Drosophila melanogaster: one gene and its partner. The protein of the gene in region 1 purifies or fractionates together with the protein of each later gene. This does not show direct contact. Each region holds a gene or a part of one and is shown on either strand. Other genes may lie near its edges. The genes, in order: daed and Gasz.

What was found.
Region 2: the proteins of daed (region 1) and Gasz purify together in Drosophila melanogaster (affinity purification with western blotting; one study listed by BioGRID). This does not show direct contact.

What each region holds. Positions count from the first base shown.
Region 1 is NT_033779.5:2,214,284-2,218,025, forward strand, and holds daed (daedalus), read right to left. Parts: upstream 2,029-3,742; 5' UTR 1,943-2,028; coding exon 1,232-1,942; intron 1,177-1,231; coding exon 1,048-1,176; 3' UTR 865-1,047; coding exon of another isoform or gene 731-864; 3' UTR 689-730; downstream 1-688. Other genes in the region: CG34174 (uncharacterized protein), read left to right, coding at 29-101, 155-601, 731-864; CG15386 (uncharacterized protein), read right to left, coding at 2,292-2,525; CG42371 (uncharacterized protein), read right to left, coding at 2,543-2,676, 2,730-2,859; mio (missing oocyte), read left to right, coding at 3,144-3,261, 3,315-3,488, 3,547-3,742.
Region 2 is NT_033778.4:8,165,900-8,170,589, reverse strand, and holds Gasz (gasz), read right to left. Parts: upstream 2,643-4,690; 5' UTR 2,548-2,642; coding exon 2,464-2,547; intron 2,401-2,463; coding exon 1,517-2,400; intron 1,462-1,516; coding exon 1,399-1,461; intron 1,346-1,398; coding exon 1,150-1,345; intron 1,087-1,149; coding exon 928-1,086; 3' UTR 501-927; downstream 1-500. Other genes in the region: Mlh1, read right to left, coding at 1-297; Rs1, read right to left, coding at 2,923-3,076, 3,138-3,681, 3,742-4,474, 4,659-4,690.

The DNA of each region.
Region 1 (3,742 bases):
AGCTGAAGTAAACAATATTGTTTACAAAATGACCAAAGCGAATAAAACGCCGCAAAAAGCAAGTGAACCGAATATAAATGGTTCCTTCACACCAGTTCGATGTAAGTTGGCTCCAAAGACAAAAAAGGTTATTATTTCTTTGCATCGTTTCCAGATTTGGACAGCCAGCGCCTGCAATCGCCCACGAGTCACGATGCGAATTTAGCCACCTGCAAAACCAGATTGGAAACAATAGTCAAACAACTCCAGGATAACTACGCTAAATGGCAGCTGGCCCATCAGCGGGGCACCTCTATTTGCTATACTATCGAAGCCAAGAAGACCAAGTGTCTGGAGAAAAGCCAGGATGAAGGCAGCTCCCTTTACCCAGATGATCTCCTACTTCCCTGCAACAAGTTGGCCATCATAGCCTCTATTTTCGGGGATATCGCAAATAATACAAAGGAGATACTAAGACAACTGAGAGGCATATTAAAATTACCGGGATCTGCAGCGGATACGATATTCTACAGGTCCTGGAAGTTGCAGCAATTCGTGGTTTTCGCGAAGGAGCTATCCGAAAGATATGAGAAGGAGGCTCTGGTCAAAATGGAAGTTGCCGGTAGGAATAATAAAGCTCCTCTTTGTCGAAAGCAGCCCCTTTAATACGTTTGAAAATTCAAAGAAGCACAGATTAATTTCTCAAATTCGATTTACCATCTTAAATATAATCATGTTACTTTTCTTATAGGTAACATTGCTCACTCGACTGAAAGAAGCCAGCTCATTGCGCACACAACTTTATGGGAATTTCCCGAGCACGTGGACTCCTATGTCCATCTGGGGTTTCTTCTCCTTGCCGAAGAAGTCAGTTTAAGGCAATAAATTAAACAATTTTTCAACTTAATACAACATATGGTTTCTATCAAATGTTCATGTTGGGCAGTAAAACTTCATTACAGCTTTAGATTAAGCGAATGCTTAAAGAAGTAATAAGTAAATTCTATAAACTTAGGTCCTATGAGAAAATCGGAATGTAACTATTAAATGCATCGTTGTGCGTTTTTTTTAAGTCTGAACGGAGATCCGCTCCAGTCGGGGAGCGCTGCGGAACTTGGTCCACCACCAGAACCAGGCGCACGAAAATCCCACAGCCAAGGTGGTGTAATACAAAATAGTAGCCAGGCTCCACTTCTTCTGCAATGCAAATTTGTATAAAGGAAAATAATTTCTTATTGCTTGCTATATTCACCTTCTTGTGACTCTCGTTGCCCTGCACTTTCTTCTGGCTCCTTGCGTTCTGGGCATTAGCTTCGATTTTCGCGAGATCCTTGGCAATCTCTTCGGTGATCTGATTCACGCTTTTTAGAGTTTCCTGGGCAAAGCAGCTGGCATATCGTTTGTCGCCCACCACGACGTCCTCGGGAGTGGAGACCTGCAGCTTGTAGTTGGTGGCCGCTAAAGAAGCGCGCAGGGACATAAAGTGGTTGCCAGCATTGCCCAGAATCTGATTGTTGTAGTTTTCGGCTTCAGGATGGTTGCAAATGTATTCGTAACTGGGATTCTGGTTGGGAATCTTTTCGAACATCTCCAGGAGCTGTTGCCGTTGCTTTCGACACTTGAACCCGAAGAGTTCCAAATCTTCGTCGGTGAGAGAGGCCAAATCCAGATAGTTAATGTTCTCGGCAATAAGTTTGTCCACACAGGTGCTGGCGTAGTCCGTTTCCACGCTGGTAGAGCACAGTAGACCGTTGAGGATCTCCCTCTCCCGGCGTGTGTCCCTGTGAGCCTTTTGGCGAACCCAAGGACGTCGATTGTAGCCCAGGAAAGCACTGTCCAATTCCTTCTGCTCGGTGTGCGAGTGAAAGTTCTTTGTGGCCTCAAACTGAATGGTCGGCGGAACCTTGGCCATCGCCACCAAGGGGACATCCCCCGCGGACATTGTGTGCGTCTTCGTTGCCATAAACTCTGTCAATAATGGCAATTAAATTACCATTAAAATGCAATTGCGCTTAGATTAGATTCGCTGTTAAGAATCGGACGTTTACGAGCACTGCGAGTAGGGGTGGTCAAGATTCCTAACAGATTATGTTAAAAGTAACAGAAGTAGTAAGGGCTCTGTAAACATTTAAAACGTGAATATTAACAATTTAGTAATTTTATTTCCTTTTTCCTATTTCGCATTCTTGTACGAATCGAATTTTCTTCTAATGAATCACCCTACCCAACCAATTAAGATTAAATGCTTAACATTTGTATTTAAAAAGTATAACAAATTGATAAATTGATGACGATTAAGCTTCCTAACTATCCTATTTCTCGGACGATGACCTGTAGATTGGGGCACTGGTGGTGGACGCCTCCTGGAGCTTCTTCATAAACAGAGCCTTTCGCTGCTCATCCGCACTCAGTTTGGTACTTGAAACGGAGGCTTTGATGCGCTCTAACTTGTCGACGTTCGGCTCGGTTAACACCATTAGGCCGTACCCCATTCCTCCGAAGCCAATCAGCCACAAAACGGACTTAAAGTAGGGATTACTAAGCATTTTGGAAGCGGTCTCCTCTAGTCGCTTTTCTTCAAAGCACTCCAATAACTCGCATCCGCCTGTCGCACTGTGCTGTCTCCGACGATTTCACCAATTTTGTAGTAATAGTCCAAAACGAAGGGATAGTTCTCGTGAATATGCTGACGAAACTCTAGGAGCGGATTGTTATTAACGATCAAAATAATTATATAAATATCCTCCCACCTCGATTCGTGTTCATGCGATAATAAACGCCGTAGCTGGCTGCGAAGCAGACTGCCTCGAGGACAAACAGTGTTTTGGCACTTCCTTTGATGAATTTCCAAATTGCAGGTTTTGGTGTTTTGCGCAGCATTTTAAGTGGGAGTTGTAAATATTAAACACGTTTGCTTTCTTACAAAAAAAAAAGGAAAACAAAATCACCTACCAGCTTATCGATAAAACGAATTATCGAACTGGGCCAGTGCTGGCTAACATGCGGCCAACAGCTGGTCGACCGGCTAGTGTGTGTGCGCCTCTTCTTCTTGCCATGTAGTGCAGTGTTTATCTCACGTTTTTGTTTTTGCAAACTGATAACGCGACGCAATTTAGTCTGTAGTGAAAATTGTTTTTTTTTACATCGATGGAAAATCGGCCACGATGAGCGGCAATACACACGGACTCAGCTGGTTTCCACATTTTCCCGACAAATTCGTATCCTGGGGCCAGGAAATCCATTTATACGAAGTGCGCCGCAAAGATGATCACAGCCAAAAAAGTAGGGTTTTCCCCAAGGGATTATGCCACTTTACTTAACCGCCCCCCTTGCAGGTCGCCTGCCTTATATATCCGTGAACTACCTCGCCAACGAGTCGCGCTATCAATATGCCCGCTGCGTGGCCGCCTCCTACCACAGTGACCAGCCCATAATTGCAGTGGGTCTGGCGGATGGCAAAGTCGGGATTTGCAACTTCCGGGACACCTACGACAGCAGCTGGGAGTACAGTGGGTGGACGACAACGCCGATTCTTAGCTGCATCTAATAGTTCTTCATTTCTCGTAGCACCGCGTCAGCAGCGCATGTGCACCTGCCTCGCCTGGAACGAGCTGGATGCCAATATCCTGGCCATTGGACACGATCGCCATCGAAATGACACCTGCATCACCATCTGGGACATTGAGCGTGGAGTTCCCAAGGAGACGGCCAACTTCTTCGGCGTCGGCGAGTCGGCCAACTCCATTTGCTGGGATCGAAATCA
Region 2 (4,690 bases), on another chromosome or scaffold:
AAATGTTGCTATCTGGGACAAATCCTCGAAGCGGGTCAGCTTGGAGGTGGTGAACCGCTCGCAGACGATGGCCAGATCCTCGCGTCGTATCCCCGTGCCATTGTCCTGGATTTGAAGCAGCTTCAGCCCACCGGCCTTCACCTGCACCTGGATGTGGGTCGATTGGGCGTCCAAACTGTTCTCGAGCAGCTCTTTTAGGGCGTTGGCGGGTCGCTGAATAATCTCGCCGGCGGCTATGCGGTTCACCACCACCTCGTCCAGCTTCCGGATGACTCCAGGCTGCAAATATTCCGCCATGGCGGGAAATCTTCACGCGAAGTTTAATGTAAACAAAAAGTAGTGTGCCCGTTTGTTTGCGCGGGAGTATACAAGAGATAAAACGGTCTATGCGGTAAGGCGGTAAATTTGAATTGTGATATCACTTCGTTTATAAAACGACGAATGAACAAAAATTGCAGAAACATAACTTAATTTAAAACTAAACGAAAAACGGACCGGTTAGTTAACAACTCCTTTATTAATGGGTTAACAAAAATAACTCTTTTCAATTTTTACATTCGATGTTGTATTAATATATATATATATGGTGTTTTCCGTCATAACCTTTAGTTCATACATTTGAATATTTCGTTTCTTTTAGTTTCAGGTATATTCATCAGCTTTGAGGTAACGTTTGATATATTTCTATTGCGTTCTAACATATATAGTCTTAACGAGAAAACGGTTGTTAAATGTATTGAGAGATTACGCGTTTCCTAACAGTTAGAAATAACAATTGATAAACTTCGATTCGAAATATGAGTTAAACTTTTCTTTAACCTAAAACTATTTGGATTTGCAAAAAAATTCCGCCAGTTCAGAGCGGTAAGGAAAACCACGTTCTTCGTAAACGTTGGAAATAATATGAGGAATGTTCTTGAGCGGATACTATGAGAACCACTTGCACTTGAGGCAAATGAAAACTGAGATTCCAAGTATAATGGTGGTGTACTTGAAGTAGCTGCGCACCTTTTTGCGTTTTCGCTCTGCGAGTATTTCGTTGAAGTCAATGAACAAGGGATTCTGAGAGGGGCTAAAGGAACCAAGCTAAAAATATATTTAAAAGAAGTGAGTGTCCTGATACAAGAACAATTGAAATGCGACACTTACATATTTGACTGTCTTTGTGATTTGGTTGAGTACATCTCGATAGCCCTGAAGGTTGCTTTTCATCGCAGCCACCTGCATCTCCGAAGGTTGCCCCATTTTATTGTGCTCCTGGTTTTTGAGGATGAAGCGCAGGGAGGCCTGAATAATGACCAAGTGTTGCAGATGACTTGCGGTGATCAGTAGGATCTCATAGAAGCTGGAAGAATTTTTGGGTTAGTTGAAATAGTAACAGAATAAACCACCACTCACTTGTTCATCTCATCCTTTTTGACCCGAGCTATCGACGAGTTGCTCCAATGATGAAGATGAAAGCTGTAATAAAGGGACATTTTATTACAAGTTCCATAAGAGTTTTAATTCTACTCACTCAAGAATGCCCGTCAGTATCTTGTGACGGAAGATGGGATACTCGATGCCGATCTCGCGAAGTGACTGCTCATCCATGACGAGGAAATCTGCCAGCGAGATCCTCGCAATGGCAAAGTATTGAACCATGTTGCCAATATTGATGGCCTCCAGTATGCCGTTAAGTTCTTGAAAATATTCCGGGCAATCGCTCTTAAGGAAGATGCGTGGAATGTGATCCCTTAGCGTGTTGTAGCCCAGGAAGTGCGTCGGCACTAGGTAAGTGGAGGCTGGTCGCGGCAGGATCTCCAGCAGGTCGTAGTATCCATGGCACTCCGCCACCTGGGTGGGCGTGTAGCCTTTGTTGTTGGCTATCGTGGCATTCGCGCCCGCCTCCACCAACAGCTTGACCACTTCCACGTGATTTTTCTCGATGGCATGAAAGATGGCAGTGCAGCCCTGATTATCCACAGCATCGAAACTAGCATCCTTAATAAGCAGACGCACAACGCCGGCAAAGCCATTTTGGCAGGCGAACATAAAGGGTGTCATTCCATATTTTTCCGAAACATTGATCACGGCTCCGTGCCGCAAGAGCAGGCCCACAATTCTCTCCGCCAGGCACGGATCCTTGTGGGTGGTATTGCAGGCCATCATCAGCGGCATCAAGGAATCCAGCTGCCGATTCACGTTGGCCCCTGCCCTTTCCAGCAGCCATTCAACTATTTTGTAGTGGCCCTCGCGACAGGCGAGCATCAGTAAGTTAAGACCACCTTTTACTGGCTGATCCACTTGGAGGACGAGTTTGCGCATCTCCTCCTGCATCGTCTTGAGATCCCCAGCGACGACTGCATCGTAGAGCTTTTGCTCGGGATCCACGTAAGGAGCTGGTTTCGAGCGTTTCACCTATACAGAAATTACTCAAGTCACCCAAGGAACACCAGAAGGAACAGAACAAGGAACACATACCTTATCCGAGAAGTAGAATCCATCGTAGCTGCTATCAGAGTCGGAATCTGGGGGCGGTCCGTATTTGCAAAGGTTGCTCATCATACAGGTACTTATATAAACCTAATTTAGCAGTTTAAGCACACAACAATTGTGGCCAAATTCAGGAAAAAGGCGAAAGGAGGAAAATGGCAAACAAAACTAGTGAGGGGAGGCGAGGTTCTGAAAAAGTTTGCACAATCGATTTTTATCGATATCATGGCGCGCTTTTTAAACTAAGCTAAATTAAGATAACCGAAACTAATTTAAGCAATAGTAAATTTGCAGTTATATTAGAAAGTTTAACACTCTGATTATGCAGATTCGCAATTTTGTTTTGAGGTGTCATATGTTTAAAGCAAATTAAAAAAATTAAATGCCTTAAAGAAGAAAAAGTTTTATTTTACAAGTATACGATTTAACATAGCGTAGTTTGCAGCTCTACTTCTTTTTATCCTTCTTGGCGTGACGAGGTCCTCCGAAGTTCTTGCCCTTGTTGAACTTATTCTTTCCCGCCTTGTTTGTCAGCTTCACACTGCTCGCCTTTTTCTTAGCAGCGATCTTGGTCATCTTTTTGTGCCGATTGGCCTCGGACCTGGAAAAGGGTGTACAAAATTAGAACAACTATCAACGAAAAGCGAGAAAGAGCTACTCACCTTAGACGCAGAGCTCCGCCACGACTTACATCGGTCAAGTCGTTAGTAAATGCCGACTGACCGCCGCGTCGCTTGGGTTTGCCGTCGGAGGCACCGCTTCTGTGAACTTCGGTGGCGGCTCCTAGTTTGCCCGGACGTTTGCGCAGCTTGGCCATCTTGGCGCGCACAAGGGACACCTTCTCGATCTCCTTCATGGCTCGCTCTTTGGCCAGCTGCTCCGGTGTCTTCTTTCGAGGCTCCTCCTTCTTCTTCTTGTTGCGCTTTGCCTCGAGATCCTTGACCGGTGGTCCATCCTCGCCATCGCCTCCGTACTCGGGTCGCTTACGCTTTCCGGCCGTTTTTCCCTTACCCTTTCCACCAGATGCTTTATCCTCGTCGCCGGTTGTCAACGCTAAGCGATCCTTCTCCGCCTCGCGTTGCTGTTTCGTCTGGAACCAACCACGTCGCTCGTTGGTCTGTCCCAGCAGCTTTCGCTCCGTTTTGGAGAGCTGTTGCTCCGTTTTGGCTAGCTGCCGTTCAGCCTGCTCTTCGTCCAGAATGTTTTCTACAAAACAATACATTTACATCCGCAAATTAAGAAAATGTTACATTTATATAAACTTACGAATCTCTGGCTCCAAGCTTGTAAGTTTGTTGCGATATTTTTCAATAATCTCTGGCGGAATAATACGATTCTTAATGGTACTCTCCGCATTCTTGATAATGTCCTTAACGATCTTGCGCTCCTTTTCACCGGCCAGGGAAACGGATATACCAGCACGCCCAGCTCGAGCCGTACGACCCACTCGATGGATGTAGTGCTCTGTGGTGATGGGCATCACAAAGTTGATTACCGTTTTTACGCCCACAATATCGAGACCACGAGCAGCTACATCTGTGGCGATAAGCACATCAATCTGCTCCTCCTTGAACTTCTTGAGGGACTCCAGACGCTGTTGCTGGGTGAGATTGCCATGCAGTTCGCCGGCCCGGACGCCCAAGAGACCCAATAAAATGTGCAGTCGATGGGCCTGCTTTTTGGTTTGCACAAATACCATGCAATGATCATGGAACGTCCTGCAAATCAAACTAGCCAGAATGGGTTCACGGTCGCCCTCCTTATCCTCACGTATGCGAATAAATTCCTGACGCAGATTGAAGGCCACTTGCTGGTTGTTGTTGACGAACACCTTGATGGGCTTGTCCAGCGATACGGCGGCCAGATCTTTGACCTGCTCGCTCATTGTGGCGGAGAACAACATGGTCTGACGTGTCTTACAGCAGGAGTTGATGATCTCCTTCATCTGTTCGGCGAAGTACTCGTCCAGCATACGATCGGCCTCGTCCAGAATGAGAACCTGTTCGGGATATCAAAAGATATTTAAGTTATTCAGGTAAAGTAAACGTAGGAAACACAATGCCTGTGGAATCAGCTTGCATCTGCCGCGCAGAAGCAAGAACCAGGTTATCCTCTTAGCTCCGCAAAGAGCTCAGAGCGCAAGGATGGAGAATCATCAACTTAAATTCACCTCGATTTCTTACCTCAATGGAATCCAATGTAAAACTGGGCGTAT